Linked DNA regions of Coturnix japonica. The main gene of each other region encodes a partner of the protein of the gene in region 2 in a complex. Links are inferred from orthologs where the notes say so. Each region holds a gene or a part of one and is shown on either strand. Other genes may lie near its edges. The genes, in order: DFFA and DFFB.

Region 1 (4,511 bases), about 2.4 Mb from region 2:
AATAAATCCCTCAACCCCCCCCTAAAAACTGTTCAGTGAGCAATGATCAAAATGCCTGATTCCTGTTCATTAACGATGTAGGTAATTTTCATCCTTTCTGCTGTAGATGGTGGGAAGGTGAACAAACTGTCCAAGGCTTCACAGCCAGATCAGCACCATCAGATGGAATTTTCTGGCTCCCAATGAGCTATTCAGAGCTGAACTCTTACACGCTGTGTTTAGCAATACCATTGTTCTAGTACTCTGCAAAAAGTCCACATCCCTTTGGTTACACATGATTTGAATCAGCACAAGTATTTATGCCTCAGGACAATGTCCAAATCTTAGTTTTCTGCAGCCAGACCACAGTATGACCAGCAAACTATGGCTCCCAGGACATACCTTATTTCTGTTGGTTCTAATTAAAAAAACAACCACAAAAAATGCAACCCACAACTACTTGCATTTCCCTGACACTTGAGGCAGAGCTATAGTCTTATTTCCTGCGTTTTGAACTGAGCCCATCTCCACAGGGCAGCGCTTTCTTGCCCCTCGATGTGCTCCTCAGGGAGTGCAAAGTCTGCACTTGCTGTAGACGCTTGGAGAGCTCCTGATCACAAGCTTGTTGTACAGCTTCGGCTTTCTGCTTGTCCCAGCTTAAAGCTGCAGCCAGGGCTTGAGTGTCTTCCTTCACCACCAGCTGTAAGAGAAAGATTTGTAGCAGTGCTGCCCACTGATGCTCTACCACCACAACCGCCTGCCCGCACGCACCAAGAACAGGAGTAATGAGACACCTCTTTAATGCTAATTTGGTGTTGAAGATGTTTCCAGCCTGCAGCTTGTATCTCCTAAGCGAATTTATTTTTCTTTATATCCTACCAGTACTTAGAGCTTGAAGCTCTACGTTCCAACTAACGGAAAACAGTTCCCTAGCTTCTGCAGCACAGAAAAGCGAGATTAATAATTTCATATCATCAGAACACTTTGTCATGGCTAGTTTACCCAGACTTTCCTTTTCATGCCACAGAAGCTTCAGCTCTCAACCCTTTATCCAGACAGGAGAGATGTGCCAGAACATGGTTGTATGATCCTCACCCACCTCTAGAGTCTGACTGTCTAAGCAGAGCTCTGGGGCAGGTTTCTCTTTCAGAACAGCACAGATCTGGACACTGAGGGCTGTTGTGGCTGAAGTCCCTGCACTGCTGGTACCTGTGTCGACCACATCCATCTCCTTTCTTGGTACGCTCTCAGACTCTGAAAAGCAGAAGAATCATTACAGCCACACACACAGGACGGGAAGCATAGCCCAGACTGCGCTGTTCTTTTTAAGATTAGATACTCAGTCTCTAACTTAGGAAACCCATAGTATTAAGGATGACTACACTACGTAAGCTTTGCCCCCATATTCTACTTTCAGGCACTGTAAGCAGTGAAAGGACTCCTCCCACTCAGGGTATTCTTCCACTACACCAGCTATTCAATCACCCATGTTAATAGCAAGTGACTCACTCCAATCCTTCCCCCACTTATCTGTCCCACTCAACTCTTTCAGGCTTCTCTGAGAAGCTCCTTCTTCAATATCCTCACGTTCCCTACCTGCTACTTTGCTTAAGACGCTGTCTTCATTTTTCAAGGCCTCTAAGTAGAGTTCCAGGAGCTGCTTTGACTGACGTTCCTCTTCTCGTCTGTCCAGCACCTGCTGCAGGGTGTCCTGCAGTACCTGGGTTTTGGTTTGACTTTGGGCAAGTTCCTCTGCCAGATCTGAACGTGGTATGTCAATCAGCACCTTCAAACGATAGGAGTGTTCCTGTTCTATGGACTGAGTGATGAGCAATTCCATCACACTGATTACAGCACAAACGACAAGCCTGAATGACGGAGCCTCAAGGCTGGCACTTGAGAATCTGCATGTTTCAGGAAGGCAAGAAGGGGCAGAGGCACAAAGACATGATGTGAGGGACAGTCAGTGGTTTAGAGCATCTTCCTCAGACGCTGGTGCTGTCAGTGGAACAAGGAATCCCCCTCAAGGAGAATTTTCACGTTAGCACCACAGCCAAAGAAACAAGAGCTGAATTAAGTGATCCAATTTATGCCATCCTTTGCAATGGATGGATGAGCCTGGTGTCCCCCACCCCCCGTACCTGCAGGTCTCCTTCAGACATCAGGATGATGTTGGACAGGTCTCCCTTCAGCTGCCGTGCCAGCTGCCTCCACCTCTCTGCCCCGCTGTCCACTTCATCCGCAGGCTGTGATAGCCAGCCCGATCTGCCGCCTGCCACATCACATCAGCAGCCAAAAGATGAAAACACAAAGCTATCGAGATCGGGACGACAGCCGTTACCCATTTAAAGCTATTTAACGCTGCTTTTCTATGCCCTTTGCCTCCTTTCCGAGGTCCCTAGCCCCGCTCGTACCTGCGCTCGTCCCGCACCACCTCTCTCCTTTGCCCAGCGCCACGAAGGCGGTGTTTGCGGGCAGGCACATGAAATAATCCTCGTCGTCCACGATGGTTCCATCCTCCGCCAGCACCAAGGTGACGGGCCGCCCGTCCTCGCCGATACCCAGAGCTCGTCCAGCTGCGCGCAGAGAAACGTTTAATGCCGTTCTGACCCCGTGCTGTATGAGCGGGCCGTGCCCGTGCAGCGCCGCTCACCCTTATCGCGCAGCTCCCGCAGGCAGGACGCTGCCAGCCCGTGCTGCTCGCTGCCGTCTCCCCGCCGCACCACGCACGGCTTCAGCCGCCCCGCCATGGCCGCGATGGGCCGCGTAGTTCCGCAGCCGCCTTAAAGGGACACGAGCTCCGTGCGGCAGAGCATCGCGTTGTGCTGTATCGGCGGTGCGGAGCTCGGCTCGTGCTGCCTGCGGCGCTACGGGCGGCGGGGCGGGCTGTGCCATCGCCTGGGCGGGCATGGATTAGCCGGGCCTGGGAAGATGGCGGCCTCGGAGCAAGCGGAGCAGCCCAGCCAGGTACGAGGGGCCGGAGCTGTGCGCTCTGCTCGGGCAGCGGGGCGGGCAGGGCCGGGCTGCCAACAGAGCCGCGGGGGAGAGGTCAGGGTGAAGGGAGGGCAGGGCTGCGAGCTGCGGGCCTCCATTCCCTGCCTTGATTCCCCTGCCGTCCCCGCCGCCTCCTCGTGATCTGGGTTTCGCTCCTGCCCCCCACGCGCGGCCTCAGCTCCGACCGCCGCCCGCCCCCCCCTCATAGCGGCCTCCAGGGGCAGAGGGGAGGAGGATCCCGCATGGAGCGGCTGCCCGGCCTCGGGGAGCTCTGTGTGTGTATGTGTGTGTGTGGAGTTAAGCACTTGGATGGGAGGATAAAAAAAGTGGGAACAAACCAACGCAGAGCCCGGGTACAGACAGGCACAGTGCCCGTCAGGTGGGTCTGCACGTCAGGTAGACCAAGTGATTCTGCCTCGCAACAAACAGGTTGGGAGATCCTTGAAGCAATGGCACCAAAGGGCACTGCAATGACAGGCGCGATGCAAACGCTGCCCACGAGTGAGTGTGGGGCGTGGGGAGAGGCACGGGTGTGATGGAGTGACTGTCTGCTCTGGGCAGGTGCTGGGATCGCTGGGGTTTCATAAACTGGGCCCTGAAGCAAACGGGGAAGGCAGAAGGGAAGATGGCAGCATGGTGGAGCTGCACTCATTGTGGGTTTCCAGCCAGCTGTGAGGGAAACCCCAAAGGCGGTGCCATAGGACAGAGTGCAGCATAACCCCAGTGTCACACACTGCCAACCGAGCCCAGGAGCAGGGACCTGGCACTCCTCATCTCACCTCTGCCTCTGATGCAGTGCTATGCTGGACCATATGAAGGCTGTAAAACCATCCTTGAAGCGGTTGCAGAAAGGCCTTTCCTTGCAGGTGAAGGAGAGAGGAGCAGGGAGGGAAACAGCAAAGTCTGCTTCGCTTTTCTGTGCAGTCATTCACGTCTGTTCTCATTTGACTGAATCACCACACACGTTTCCATTGGTACTTTTATTTTGGACTGAAAAAGCTAAGTTTGTAGTGAGCATTGCTGAACTAAACAGAGATGAGATACGTTCCATAAAGGCTGTGCTCTGACACTGTGAGCTCCCAGGCTGTATAGGCCCCATTATCAGGCTGCTGGTTGGCTTGCTGGGCAGTTCTGTGCTGGTTGTGTGCTTTCATCAGTAGCACCTTGAGGTGCAGGCACATCAATCTGTTCCTCATGATGTGGGTTGAGCTCTGTCAACAGGAGGAAGCCTGAAACAGCCTCAGACTGATCTGTGAGCCACCTGGGGCAGTCCATGAGGCAGCTGCCTGCAGGTTTCCAATGAAGAAGTCTGCTTAATTGGTAAATGCGATTGCCTGAGAAACATTTGGGTTCCTATGATATCGTGTACACTCAATGCACCCTTTAAGTCTCTGTTTTATACTTCTTTAGTATTGCTTTGCCTTGAAAGAAGGCTTGATGTTTGCATTTTGGATGCAGGCTGTTGGAAAGTAACTTTTTGCCACAGAGAAACCACTGTGTCTGGCTCCTCATAGCAGATCCAGTTTGTAGGGCTGCTT
Region 2 (4,518 bases):
TACAGCACCAGCATTCTGCAAACATTATGGTATAAGACTTTATGTATTGCTTCAAGAAAGCAAAATCTAGAGAGGCAGAGACTGAAAGGTGAAGCAAATCAGTGGGAAAGATGACAGAGCACAAGGGTGGTAAAAGCAGAGATGCAGTGAAGCATCCTTCTAGAAGACTTGCATCTATGCAACAGTAGATTGAATGGTCACAGATGAGTGCAGGTGTCTTCATATAGAAGAGCCAGCAGCTCTGCCACTGAATCATTTGGCCTGTCTGCAATACAGCGCCTGTCTTCCTGGTAAAGGCACAGAATAATTACCCTGAAGTATTCTTTGTTTGGCTTAACGTTCAGAGCAGTATTAATCTACTTAATTTATAAGAAACGTTCTGTGTAAGTTCAGTTTCTGCACTGTGCATTTTGCACCTACATTTATCACAGCAAGCAAGAAATCATAAGGTATCATCAGTGTCAGCTTCTGGCCTCTATTTTGCACATTGCAGCTATGAGTCAGATTATCACACTCAGCAGTGTCATCTGAGGTGGGAGAAGGAGGCACGATCTGAGCGCATGCTTTGTGAGATTGCAGTTCAATGAATGCACTGGAGGTGATAAAGGAAGAAGTCCTTGCAGAAGAGACCAGCTAAGTAAGGTTTTGTTTAAGAAACAAGAGCTATTTAAACATTATACCATCTTACATGATTTTGAAATGGAAAGAAACCAAAACCAGCAGTTGCTTCCAAAGGGAGCGCTATGAAATCTCACGGCTTTGCTTCCTTTTTCTGTAAATCTTAGTTTTGTCACAGCTGAGATTATGATTGGTTTTCTTATGGCAAGCAATATGGACAAGCTTTAGATTATCCACTGTAAACAATAGCTGATAGAAGTACTCCCAGTTCACTTCTCTTCCATCTCGTGTTTTGACAGCTTCTGCCAGCTCTGGGACAACGCTGCGTTTCTTTTCTATTCTGCAGAATGCAAAAGAGAAAACAATATTGCCATCAAAATCTGCTTTCTTAACAATATGCCTCCATCTTCCTTTTAAAGCAAGGCAGAAGTTGCATTCTCTCACCATAACTGGGTTTAAAATGGTTTTAGGAAGGAATCAATTTAGCTTTGCTTCAGAAATGCACAATGCCTGGAAAGAGGGACACGAGGATATCCTTCATAAAGGATAACATGGTGGAAAGGGGTAAATTCCCATACAAACAAAATCTGAGCAGGTAAATCTGGATTTATACATGCATTATACATACATGTGATCGAGATTCCAGGTGCTGAAGAGGATTCTGCTTTCCCTGTTCGTATAGGGGTTGATAGAATGCTTACATGGGCAGTCATCTCTGTCAAAAGGGCCCTGTAAAAAAGGTGGCTGCGATGAAAGGCACGTTGTTCATCATCCCAGCTCAGTCCCAGTCCTGAACTGATGCAGCTCCATCTCACTACAACCACACACAGGTGATAATGTTGCCAAAACTCAGCTCTTCTCTATGCAAGCACTGAAGTCACCATCTCCCCCCTCTAATGTTGTCAGTGCTGCTTGTTAGAACCGAGACTGCTTTGGGGCAGGGCTGAACCTACCTGACAAGAGAACCATCCCTCCTTTGTGCACAGCCGCACCGCTGCCTCCTCCTCTGTCCTGTCAAAGTAGCTGCCGTTATATCTCACAGACTTCAGTTTATCCGACATCAGCTCAAGTATCCTTCTATACGCATCTCTTGCTGTAGGATGAACATTTGAGATAAAATTACTAACCTAAAAGAAAAACAGAAGTACAGTCACTCCTTGGTGTCTGGAGCAGGTCTCTAATGCAAGTACCATGCTTGTACTTAAACATACATTTGTGTGTGCTTAGTGTACATGTAATCACTTTTACCTCCTTCATGTAGCTCCGTATCCTGCTTTCACAGCTGTACCGCATATAACTTGATTTGTTCTTAAAACGAGATTCTAGACCTAAAGAGAAGCAGCTTCATTTAGTACAGTACTTCCAATTCTGTGCATCTTCTTCGACGTGTACCTATGGCTTTTGCTCACAAACTCAGCATACAGGCTTTATTTTATTGCTGGGCTTAACAGAACCACACAGAGCATCTACTGTGAGAGCAGGGTTGATGTGTCAGGTAGCAAACAGGCTGTTTATCACCAGTGGAAACACACAGCTAATAGTGATGAGTGTGTAGAAAAGCAGCGTTTTGTAGCTGAGGATTTGCTCTATCAAATAGCATTGTCGTGCTCTTTGTGTGTGGAACACTGTGCCCAGTTCTGGGCTCCTCTGGTCAAGGCAGTGGGATCTGTGGGACACCCAGCAGAGGGGGGGCCTGGAAAGGATGAGAACGATGGGGAGAAGGCGGCCAAGAGGGGATGTGAGTGCTTATAGATATCAGAAGGGCATGAGGACAAGGCCAGGCTCTTATCAGTACACACTCACGAAGCACACACACCTTCGAACCACTTCCCGTCCTCATCCCGTCGCTCTGCAGCGCTGTCCCCGCTCATGTTGTGTATAAGATCCGCCAGCAGCTTCTGCCTGCGGGGCGCCCGCTCGTCCTGCAGCAGCCGCCGTGCGGCCTCCACCACCGCGTCCGTGCGGCTGCACAGTGCGACCAGGAACCGCTCCACGTCCCCGCAGCCTGCACACGGAGCGGCCTTTAGGAGCCTTTATCAGCCTTTATCATCCCGTATCACCGCGCCCCTGTCACTCACATCCCGTCCAGCTCTCCCCGGGCCGCAGCAGCACCAGCTCCGTGTGCGGCGATAACGTGCGGAAGAACGGCTCGCTCAGCTCCGTCCCGTCCTCGTAGAGGCACAGCCGGCTCCCTGCCAACGGGAGCTGCCCGGACGGTCACACGAGACCCACAACAACCCACAACCCGTGTCCCCCCGTCCCACACCTGCAGCAGCCGGCATCCTTTCCGCAGTAACCCACGCAGGCTCCCGGCCGCAGCCCCGAACTTCTGCGCGCTGCCGGGGCGGCGGAGGCGGAACGGCCTGAGGGGAGCCGCCATGACAGCCGCTCTCCCGCCTCCCTGCGGTGGGTGCTGCGCATGCGTGGCGGCGCTCACGCTGTTGCTAAGGTGACAAGCGATGGAGCCGCGCTGAGGTGAGTGCGGTGTAGGCCCGGCTCGGCCGGGTCGCTCCATTTTGCTTCTCTCTGCTCTCAAAGCTCCCTTTGAAAAGCTGTGTTAAGCCATCCCAGTATCCAGGTCCCCTACGTGGCGGCTCATGGCTCGGTAGGGGCCGTTTTCCCGAGCTGGCTTCTCTGAGGCCTGCGGGGCGCTGCCCTCCCAAGGCCTCCTGCTGAGGGAAGGGCGGAAAGTAATTGCTTAACATCGCAATGGGGATCGATGTGCTGCCCTCACAGCTCCTGCTGTGTGTGTGTGTTTGGCTGTGGCCTGGGGACGTGCATGGCTGTGAAACGTCACTGGGTGACTCCTGCTTAAGTTGATTCTGTTCTTGTTGTTACTGTAATGATTATTTCCTTCCAGACCTATGGGGAGGGATGTCACGTTGCTCTGAAGGTTTTGCAGCTGGGCAAGTGGAGCAAGGAGAAGCTTCTGTGCTCATCACCATTCGTGTGTTAGATTTAGACCTTCTGGACTTGGAAGGAGCCCACAAATAATTGGGGTTCTGCCTTTTAACACAGTTGATCTTGCTGTCCAAGTTAACCAAGCCCTCACTTCACTAAGCCCTGATAAAACATAAAAGAAAATGGTACAGTTTATGGTGCTAGCATTAAATAAATTCAGATTTACAGTCGGCAGCTGCTGAATTAATGGACCACGGTACAGAATTCTTGGACTGCAGTGTTTCGGTGTTGTTTTATTGCCCTCCTAAGGATTAGCTTAAGTTTGAAACATGGTTGTTTTGTATAGCTCGCCTCTGCAGGATGCCACACAAGATTGGCTTTATAGTCGTCAGCTCATCGGGGCACGAAGATGGCTTCAGTGCAAAAGAGCTGATGGTCCACGCACCAACAGTGAACGGATGGCGATCACCAAGGTACTGCAAGTGAGAGCAACGTGCTTAATCCTACAGCACTGAGTTTACATTGAGTGGGAGATGCAGCATGTGTTTTCAGACTAGTTTAATGCATGCTAGACCAAACTGGTTATTAAACCAAAGCATCTAAGTTACTTTTAACCCTGTGGAGGCCTTATTCTGCAGGAGAAAAATAGCCTTGGTTACACTGAAAGGTCATATTAACAATTTGCAACTGCGTTGGCTTGGAATTAAAACTACAGTCTTCTCAATACATCTTCTGGGTGTATGTAGTTGTTTTAGTTTCAGCTGGAACAGTCGTTTTCCTTCATAGTGACTGACAGGCTGCTATGTTAAACCACAACAGCAGTGCACTTTTAACAGACACACGCGTGCATTAAAGTGAAAAATGTTTCTACTCTTTGTTTTTATGATATTTTAACAATGGCAAACTATAAGAGCTTTACAAAGTTGCATGATTAAATGTTATTCAAGTTGGAAACCAAGTGATCTTTAAAAAGGTGGCTCAAAACTGTGTGTCCTTTCA

The links.
Region 1: the proteins of DFFB (region 2) and DFFA are in contact, whole or in part, in an NMR structure (PDB 1F2R), measured with the Mus musculus proteins. The link is inferred for Coturnix japonica from reciprocal best matches to the Homo sapiens genes DFFB and DFFA. Residues at the interface, in NP_031885.3 of Mus musculus: Cys10, Lys12, Arg14, Ala19, Cys20, Lys21, Phe22, Gly23, Val24, Ala25, Ala26, Arg39; in NP_001020467.1 of Mus musculus: Asp66, Thr68, Ile69, Val70, Asp71, Asp72, Asp74, Tyr75, Trp94, Tyr96, Asp100.

What each region holds. Positions count from the first base shown.
Region 1 is NC_029536.1:3,186,375-3,190,885, forward strand, and holds the start of DFFA (DNA fragmentation factor subunit alpha), read right to left. Parts: upstream 2,810-4,511; 5' UTR 2,730-2,809; coding exon 2,633-2,729; intron 2,556-2,632; coding exon 2,394-2,555; intron 2,252-2,393; coding exon 2,121-2,251; intron 1,766-2,120; coding exon 1,576-1,765; intron 1,234-1,575; coding exon 1,079-1,233; intron 680-1,078; coding exon 476-679; 3' UTR 1-475. Other genes in the region: peroxisomal membrane protein PEX14, read left to right, coding at 2,911-2,946. UniProt on the Homo sapiens protein: Inhibitor of the caspase-activated DNase (DFF40).
Region 2 is NC_029536.1:769,958-774,475, forward strand, and holds the start of DFFB (DNA fragmentation factor subunit beta), read right to left. Parts: upstream 3,086-4,518; 5' UTR 2,999-3,085; coding exon 2,885-2,998; intron 2,824-2,884; coding exon 2,697-2,823; intron 2,624-2,696; coding exon 2,435-2,623; intron 1,947-2,434; coding exon 1,867-1,946; intron 1,746-1,866; coding exon 1,572-1,745; intron 1,348-1,571; coding exon 1,247-1,347; intron 959-1,246; coding exon 742-958; 3' UTR 1-741. Other genes in the region: CEP104 (centrosomal protein of 104 kDa), read left to right, coding at 3,880-3,992. UniProt on the Homo sapiens protein: Nuclease that induces DNA fragmentation and chromatin condensation during apoptosis. Degrades naked DNA and induces apoptotic morphology.